Neurospora crassa OR74A: one gene and its partner. The protein of the gene in region 1 interacts with the protein of each later gene in a biochemical or structural test. Links are inferred from orthologs where the notes say so. Each region holds a gene or a part of one and is shown on either strand. Other genes may lie near its edges.

What was found.
Region 2: the proteins of NCU06091 (region 1) and NCU07319 form a complex in vitro, tested with the Saccharomyces cerevisiae proteins (2 studies listed by BioGRID). The link is inferred for Neurospora crassa OR74A from reciprocal best matches to the Saccharomyces cerevisiae genes VPS74 and SEC27.

The regions. Positions count from the first base shown.
Region 1 is NC_026507.1:1,844,767-1,849,013, forward strand, and holds NCU06091 (vacuolar protein sorting-associated protein 74), read right to left. Parts: upstream 3,112-4,247; 5' UTR 2,364-3,111; coding exon 2,112-2,363; intron 1,901-2,111; coding exon 1,654-1,900; intron 1,555-1,653; coding exon 1,094-1,554; intron 963-1,093; coding exon 873-962; 3' UTR 65-872; downstream 1-64. Other genes in the region: NCU06090 (hypothetical protein), read right to left, coding at 3,915-4,247.
Region 2 is NC_026504.1:4,379,142-4,383,549, forward strand, and holds the start of NCU07319 (coatomer beta' subunit), read right to left. Parts: upstream 3,009-4,408; 5' UTR 2,672-3,008; coding exon 2,654-2,671; intron 2,392-2,653; coding exon 2,368-2,391; intron 2,272-2,367; coding exon 2,226-2,271; intron 2,159-2,225; coding exon 2,017-2,158; intron 1,958-2,016; coding exon 1,767-1,957; intron 1,709-1,766; coding exon 1,509-1,708; intron 1,450-1,508; coding exon 1,324-1,449; intron 1,266-1,323; coding exon 1,025-1,265; intron 974-1,024; coding exon 1-973. Other genes in the region: NCU07318 (mannitol-1-phosphate 5-dehydrogenase), read right to left, coding at 3,928-4,408. UniProt on the Saccharomyces cerevisiae protein: The coatomer is a cytosolic protein complex that binds to dilysine motifs and reversibly associates with Golgi non-clathrin-coated vesicles, which further mediate biosynthetic protein transport from the ER, via the Golgi up to the trans Golgi network.

The DNA of each region.
Region 1 (4,247 bases):
AGTGAAACTGTATTATAGCTAGATGACAGCATGGATTTAAAGTCAGGGTACACATGTGGCTAAACGACTGAACAAAGCATATGCCTTTTTTTTCGTACCCATCACTGAAAATTTAGCTATTTTGGTTGCCATGGGGTTACCGCCACCGTCTTTCTCTAACCTAATCCTGTTCATATTCCATTACTTCCATGATAAAGTAAGAGGTGTAGTAGACGTACAGAAAACGTGCAGCATCAATCAATGTGTGAGACCACTACACTACGCTTTCGCCCCGGTCGACGCACTCATCCCTTCATTGTCATATTTTTCTTTTTTCCGTTCTTTTTTGATTTTCGCATCTTCGCTTCGCCTCATTGTCCATCGGTATCTGCCCACCTATCCACACCAATCCTCTCATATCCTCCAAGTAAAACCCAAGCCTCTTACCATCTCCAACCCGTCCTCCTCCTATTCGACCTCGAAGAGAGTAGTAAGTGGGAGACCAAAAGAGGGAAATTAAAAAAAATGTTCATCATCATACCTACCCTACCATACAAGGAGACGAGGTGAAGATATTAAGTAAAATAGTAGGCCCTTCTGCGCGGTTGCTTCGCTGGTGTGATAGAGTGAATCAGGTAAAATGCGCTGCGTCCTCCGTGTTGTTGGATCAGGAAGGCCGGCCTTGACTGACCCCTTGCCCGCTCGCTCGCTCGAAGACCCAGCGCCCACCCACCACCCCTTGTTCGTAGTGTAATCGTGAAAAGGCTTCCTTCCCCCGACTTTCACTCACTCAGCACAACACATCATCATCATTCTCGCTTTTCGGGGTGTCTCCCACGCTTGTCCTCAATGGCTGGGCTGTTTGCTTTCTCACAATTCCCGCCGTGCGCCATTTAGAGCAGGGAGTCAAGGCGAGTGAATACGCTCAAGCAAGCCGCCACGACTTCGAGCTGGAGTTCCTTGTCCTTTGCTTTGTTGACCTCCTGTTTGTTTGGTGAGCATATGTTAACTAAAATTCTCGCTTGAACAGTCCGCTCGGTTTTTTTTTTTGGAGGGGTTCTTTTTTCTCCCTCTTCCAACAGAACCTCTTGGATAAGAAATCATACAAACGTACCTCATTAATAACTTGCGGCAAGTTCGCCCCCACACCACCATTCCCACCAGGCAACGGCCTCGCCGCAAACGGCCACTGGCTGTACTGCAGCAACAGCTCGTCCGCCATGGAAAAGGCGTTTTCCCTCGCCTCGTGGCCGAGGGTACTCAGCGCGTTCTCGAGCACGTTGGCTGCGTGCGCCGCGCACACCATGGCGATTGTCCGCACGTACCGGAACTCGAGGTCCTCGGGCAGGTACTGGGTCGGGGTGAGCACGACGGTGCGCTGCGTCAGCACGTTGCGCACACGCCGTCGGATGTCCTCCTTGGCGGCGCCCTCGACGACGGGGTGTGTGGCCATGTCGAACAGTAGGAAATTGCGCTTTTCCGTGCGCAGGATGCCCTTGTCGACCAGACCCTTTGCGAGCCGCTCGCGGACTTGTTTCAGTTGGTAGCCGATTTTCATGAGGTTCCAGGTTTCGCCTGTGGTATTAACAGGTCATGTCAGCACGTTTGCTTCCGCTTGGGTGTGCACGATAGACATGGGGGGAATGGAGATGGGGCAGTGACGCAAACACGTACCGCTCATCAAGTCAATCCAGGAGCTGACGCTCATCTTCTCGCTCGTCTTCATCATCTTCAGGGCCTCGTCCAGCAACACCTCGCCCGTTAGAGTGTCGTCAATGACTTCGATGATTCGGTCCGCCAGGGGGAAGCGCCGCCGGGAAGAGTCTTTTTGCATACTGATGCGGCCGCGGAAGGCCAGCTCGAGAACAATGCATCCACGAAGAGCATAGGAGATGTTGTCGTTCCAGAACGAAAGGTAGCCCTGATGGGGGTTGTCTTGTTAGCCATGTCGTCTCTCGTCGTGCCCAGGTTCCGAATTCCGAATCATGAAAACAGTCCAAGGAGCAGCACGTGGCGAACGTCAATATCGAGTCCAGCCATAGTCAGAAGATAGCCCTTTGGTAGGCCCCTACAACATACAAAGGGATAGTGTAGCGAGCGAGACTGAGAGAAAGAGAGACGTGGAGACAAACCTCGCGATCCTTGATGCCAAGCAATAAGACCTCCTCCATCAGCGTTAGCTTGGGTTGCTTGCTCCTCTCTGCGCTCTCGCTCAGGTCGCGGGGATCGAAGGCAATCCTGTGTCCGTTCTCGCCCGTCTCGTAGCTCGTGTCGGGCCCAACGTCCCTCGTGTCGGAAGCGCCGCCGCCGCCGCCGCCGCCGCCGACGTCGCTGCTGCCTCCTCCCGCGCCCCTGCGCCGGGTCAAGCCTGATGTTGATGCCATCTTCTTCTTCTTCTTCGTTTTTTTTTTCTTTATCGGGGACTGTTTCTGATGTGATGATTGGGCGGCACGAAGCGAATGTGGTCGGCCGAGTTTGGGCGTATGTGCACTGGTATTATTTCCCCGTGTTTTCGCGGACAGGGGGAATTGAAATAATTTCGGTTTCGCGGTAACACGTGGGGATTAGGATTGCGGATTGGGGATTCGGTAGGCCTGGGTGTAGCCTGTGTTTCAGAGGAAAGGGTAAGGCCGACTAGTAGAGGTAGTAGCCTGGTCGATCAATTGTCCCGAACGTGGAGGTCCGTCCTTCGTTGTCGTCGTCGTCTGGGGGGTGGTGGGAAGCCGCTCTTCGGCGCGGCTCTTGATGATGCGAGTGTTTGTCGTTTCGCTAGTCTGTTGGTGTTCTCTTGGCTACCTCTAGCAGGACCGACGGGGGGGGGGATGGTTAGGTTTGGTTGAGGCTGAGTGGTGGACTCGGGTATGTAGAGGTACGTAGGTAACGGGTCGGTGCTCGACGGGTCCCTCTTTTGGTTGGCACAGGCAGCGCGCAGCAGTGCCGGACGCTGTTTTGTGCAGCGGTCAAAGAAAGAGAAAGTCCAGAGGTGGGATCCCGTCCTGGTCCGCGCGGCGGATGGAGTCTAATCGGGTCAAGAGCCAATCTCAGGGTCCAGTTCACCTGCGGCGCAAAGGGGTTCTAAGTATCAAACCTTAAACTTGGGTGCAGTTGGAGATGGCTAGGTTATGTGTTTCCTGTATATTCTGAATGGCCACGTTTTGAAACGGCTGTTTCTTTGTTCAATGCTACCGAGGGATGAAGTCATTAACCCCTTCCAAGCTTCCCTTGTGGAACGGAACACGGGTTGCTCCGATCATGATAAAATCGTGTAGCATCACCTAGAATTATGTCGGCTTCCAGGCGCCGTGTTAGTGCTTTGATTGCGAATAAAGTAGAGTCCGACCACCCAGCACTAACAGCACCTCATTTCACAGCTGGAATTTAACGCCTACACCGGAGAGCGCCTCGGTATCAGACAAGCAAGAAAGGGAAGCTATGCGTCTCACATCACCAATTCAAGTCACCGGACAAAAAAAGAGAAAAGACTCGGTGAGCTGATAATCACTTTTTAACTCCCTGAAGATGCTGCCTCGCTGAAGAAGAAGGGGGACCTCCAGCCCCTACCTCCTCCCTTCGCCACCACTACTAAAAGCTAGCTAAGTATAAAAGAACAAAAGACAAGGCTTGCCCAGCCTCGTACCATGTTAACCGCTTGTCGTGATCTGGTCCAGTTGTGATATGTACGTGTGATATAATCTCTTTTTCCATTCCGACCGTGCAAAGAAAAAAGAAACGAAAAACCATGAGGAAAAAAAACAAACGCCAAAAACACCACCTGTTACCCCCTTCCAGCAAGAAATATGTACGTAGCGACAAGGCAGAAGAATGGGAAAAGGATATGCCAGCCTCCCGAGCATCTGCCGCTATGCAGCAGCAGTGGTATCAACATCTCTCTCCAAAAAGACAAAACACCCCTTGCTGAACACCTTATCCGACGCTTATTTCTTCTTACCACCGAATCCGCCCTCGAATCCAGGCCTGCTCTTACCCTTGGAAGCACCTTTTCCTCCACCCTTACCGCCCTTGCCGCTCTTGACCTTGATGCCCATCTTGCGGGCCTTCTTCTCGTCCTGCTTCTTCTTGATGTTCTCCTCGCGCTTCTTTGACCTATCGTACTGGGCCTTGGCGACGCCCTCCTTGCGCTCTCTCCACTCATTGGCGCTCTTGCTCTTTGCCTTCTCCTTGCGCTTGACAGCCTTCTTGAGCAGGTGCTCGTCGTCGTGAACCTTCTCGCCCTCGGCACGCTTGCGAGCAGCGAGCCACGTCTCCTT
Region 2 (4,408 bases), on another chromosome or scaffold:
CCAAGCGATAGCGCCAGATCGAACTTGTGCTCGGGGTCAGTTGCCACCTCAAGCGCGAGCTCCTTGTGGCCCTGTCCCTCAAGGAAGCGCGCAATCTTATTGAGCTGATCCTCAGGAATGCTTGGGAGTAGCTCGGCAGCCGTCTCCATATCCTCGCGAAGGACAAGAGTCTGGTACTCCAAAACGGGAAGCGAGAGCGCGAAAGAGGTAACATTAAGGTCCTTATCGGTGATGTAGACGCGGCCATCACGCTGGAGGTAACCCAAGATGTACATGGGCTTGTCGAAGTGGGCGATGGTGTAAGTCTGGTCGCCAACCAAGTAGTTTAGACGGTTGGTGCTGTTGGTGTAGATCAGGACATCTCCCAACCACTCCGCCGAACGGATACTCTCGCTGATGTCGGTAACGACATCAAACGCAGCCTCAACACCATCATCCTCGACAAGACCAGCCTGGACCGCTTCGTTATAGTTCTCTCTCGAGAACCTGAGGACGTAGGTGCTATCTTCGCAGGCAAGAGCAACCAGCTCGCCGCTCTCGCTCCAGTACACCTGCTTTGGCTCCACCTCAATGCGTCTGACAAGTCCACCCGTCCGCCAGTCGTAGAAGGAAATGCCACCTTGGCCCTTGACACCGAGGAGGACACCGCCGGTAAGACCGTCGGCAGCAAATGGGACGTCGAGACCGCCGACCTTGTTCTCGAAGTTCTTGAAGATCTTGACGCTGGTGGGAGACTCACGAATGGCGAACTCGTTTGTGCTGGAATACTCCTTGGAAGCCCACACAAAGTCGAGGGCTTGACCGAATGCCTTGTTTCTCCAGGCGAGCGCAGTGTAAACGATGTATTCGCCGTCGCCGCAAATAGCAGCGAACCGACCATTGGGAGAGTGGATGAGACTTTGGGGGTACACCTCGGCGGTTCCAAGCTCCTTGGTGGTGAGTGTGATAGGTTCGTTGTCCTTGATATCGGCATCTGATCCCTGTTAGCTCGGAGTCACTCTCGATGTTCCGTTTTGTAACTCACCAGCACCCTTGATCACGGCAGATACAACCTCATTGTGCCTGGCCCACACGATCTTGCCGGAGCCATCCATCGACACAGCGGGCTCTTCCCGACCAAGCTTGATGACCACCGAACCATCATCGAAACCAACAGCAATACCCTGCTTGCCCTTCTGATATGACACACACCATGCTCGCTCCAGGCCGTAGTTTAGCGATTGCTCGAACCTGTAGGTGTTGGCGTTCCATATCCTTATCGTGCCCTGCGGTTACGGTTAGTAATAGCCTGCGAGCGAGTGGACAGGTGCAATATCGACGTACGTCTTCCGAACCAGAGATAATAATAGGGAGCTCTGGGTGGTAGCAGGCAAAGGATACGTTGTTGGTGTGGCCTTCAAGAGTGGCGATCAAACTCTTGGTGGTATAGTCCCACACTTTCACCGTGCGCTGTGCCAGTAAAGTCAGCTGTGAAGTCCTATGCGCCAGCAGATGTCAATATAACTCACGTCATCAGAAGTTGTGAGAAGATAGGGTTTGTCGCTGTGGGGATAGTAATCGACGTGGTTGACGCCCTTGGTCTCGTGCGCCTCAAGCTGGAAGTTTGGTGTGGATGAACCCAAGCTCCAGATCTTGACTGTCCTGTCCAAACATGCCGAAGCAAAGGTGTTGGTATCTTTGGGGTTGATGGCGAGGGACATGACGTAGTCTGAAGCTCTGTTAGCACGCGCGCTCTGCTTCGATGTATCAGGCTGGTGGCGCCATACGTGAGTTGCCCTCGAATACCCGCACGTTCTTCCATCCCTTCTCCCAATCCCAAAGCTTGATCGTCATGTCATCACTGGCGGTAAGGACGAAGGGTTGTGTAGGATGGACGCAAATGGCTCTGATGTAGTCGGGATGCGCCTCGAAGGATGTGATCTTTTCGCTCGTGTTGTAGTTGTAGACTCGAATTTGGCTGGGATTCCAGGTCAGCCTTCCTGTCTAGCTCTAGCCCAAGTTCCATGTCGAACATACAAGTCATCGGAACCACAGATGATCCAGTTCTTTCGCGCAATGAAGCGACCAGCGCGGACGGGGACATCGGTAAGCTCGAAGGTCTTGACGATTTGTTGTGTCTCGTATGACCAGATATAGACGTGGCCGCTGTAGAGGGTCGCTAATCACCAAAGTAGTGTCAGAATTCAGGGCCCCTCCCATCGTATCGCGAGTCGAATCAGACGTACTCAGAATCCATGGCTCGGTAGGATGGAAGTCGATGCCCTTGACTCGCTATGTGCGGGATATGGGTGAGCAATGGGAACCTTGAATGTTGAAAGACTGCTTGGTACCGGAGAAATCAGGGGGTCAAGAGGACAGGTAACGAACCTCAGAGCGGGCAAACAACTGGCGCTGCATGTTGACAGGCATGTTAGCAGGTGTTTTCTAATGAGAGATGGCCCAGTTGGAGGCAGCGATGTGATGATGGACGTGTCGGCGCAATGGAGCTGGCCGTCGAGGTGCCGGTACAGCAGACGGAATAGGGGCAACTGGAAGATCCCAGGCCGAAGCTAAGGGAGGTGCAAGTGTGCGCCAGGTTGCAGAATCGGGTTGTTCTGTTGGGTCTCGGTGACACGGCCATGGTGGTGCAGACACGAAGCCTGTGCGAACTTGCCTTGACATCCAGCCTCATGTTGGGCGAGTTTGGGGTGGGTGTGTGGTGTGTGGTGTGTGGTGTTTACAAGTTGGAATTAGAGGACGGGGCGGTCGTAACGGTTCTCGAGCTTCCAAGCTTCAGGTGGGGTGCGTGCTGGATGCTGGAGATGGTCCCTGACCGTGCAAGAAAGCCGCCGTCGGGTTCGTCAGGGGTGAAGCTATCGGAAGTGGTGCAATCGTGGTTATATGTATTTGGTGTATTGGATATCTGGTCCGCCGAAGGGGGGGGGACGTGGTTGGCGGTACGAGGATTCGGAATAGAGGCTTCGGAGGCCTTGACACTTGATTGCGACGGGCCGGAAATGACAGCGGACGGTTGTAGAGGTGCCCGCCACGTATCTCGACCGGCCGCCGCCCACAATTTCGCGGCTGTGGTCTGCTCGCCGCTCGGGCCACTCTCTCCCTCAGGCGGTCAAGTGGGCACAGCTGCCGGCCACTGTCACTTCCTGCGCTCGCCAGCTGCTGCCTAAGGCAACGACCAACACTACAGCTTTGCGGATCTCTTGGCGCCCCCCTCACCGTCGGTGCATTCAGTGTTTGAAGCCATCACCATCGCCAAACCACGTCCAAAGTCGACCACTGGAGATCGTCAAAAACCAAAAGGCTTGGACCAACGCAACGGTCACTTTGTGAACGACTCAATTCCCAATCACATTTTGGAGGAGTGTCACACACGAGCAAATTTGCAAGATACGAGTATTTCAAAACCAAAAGGTCTCAGCGACGCAACAGGAGGCGCGACCGATGACGGTCAGTCGTCAAGTCGGTACTCCCATCCATTTTCATCGTTACTTAAAAACATTATCAGCAATCACCAAATATGGGCTCAAAGAAAAAGCTCGAAGCAGTGATCAAGTTCGACGCACTTTGCATACGACAACGTTACTGGAACATGGAGAAGAATTGAGTGTGAGTACTTCTTATTGACTTGAACTATATCTATCATTGCAAAGCGCTTCTAGTGATTGCGCAGAGACAATAATGAAGAAGAAAAAAGGGAAACCCAAAACCTCCAGGATGTCAATATGATCCCGGCTAAACGCCATTGATCCCAGTTGTATAATGCTCCGCGTTGATATCCCAGAAAGCAACCAAATGAACGCCATATTCTCCGGATTCCGAGGGTCCACGACACCGTTGCCCTATTCCCTATCCGTAAAGTCTTCGCTCATTTATCATAAGACATGAAGTAAGAATGGATACAAAACACACAAGTTGACAGAAATGCTCCATCTAGTCGTCGTGCAAGTCGGCCTGTACGCGCTGTACAACCTCGACCACCTTGGGGAACAGCTTCTCCTGCTCGTTCAAGCCGCAGACCTGCTTGACAACGTCCTCGGGCTTGTTGCTCGCCATGATCTTAGCAAGTTCGGCCGACTCCTCGTCGCCCTCGACGTTCTGGAAGCGGAACGCCATCTCAGCAGCATCGAGCAGAGCGCTGCAGTCCTTACCGTGTTCGGCAAGCTCGGCTGCGGGGCCGATGAACCGCTCCTTGCGGGACAGCTTCCGTAGGGGAGCACGGCCCACGCGCTCGACGGCATCCTCCAGGTGAGGGTTGCTGATGCGCCTGACAATCTTTTCAACGTACTCGTGCTGGGCCTGTTCGTCGATGCCGTGCTTTTGCGTAATGAGGTGGGATGTGTTCTCGAGCGCCTTCTTGACCTCTTCCTGGATGTCCTTATCTTGGAGAGCATCATAGACGGTGCTCTTGCGG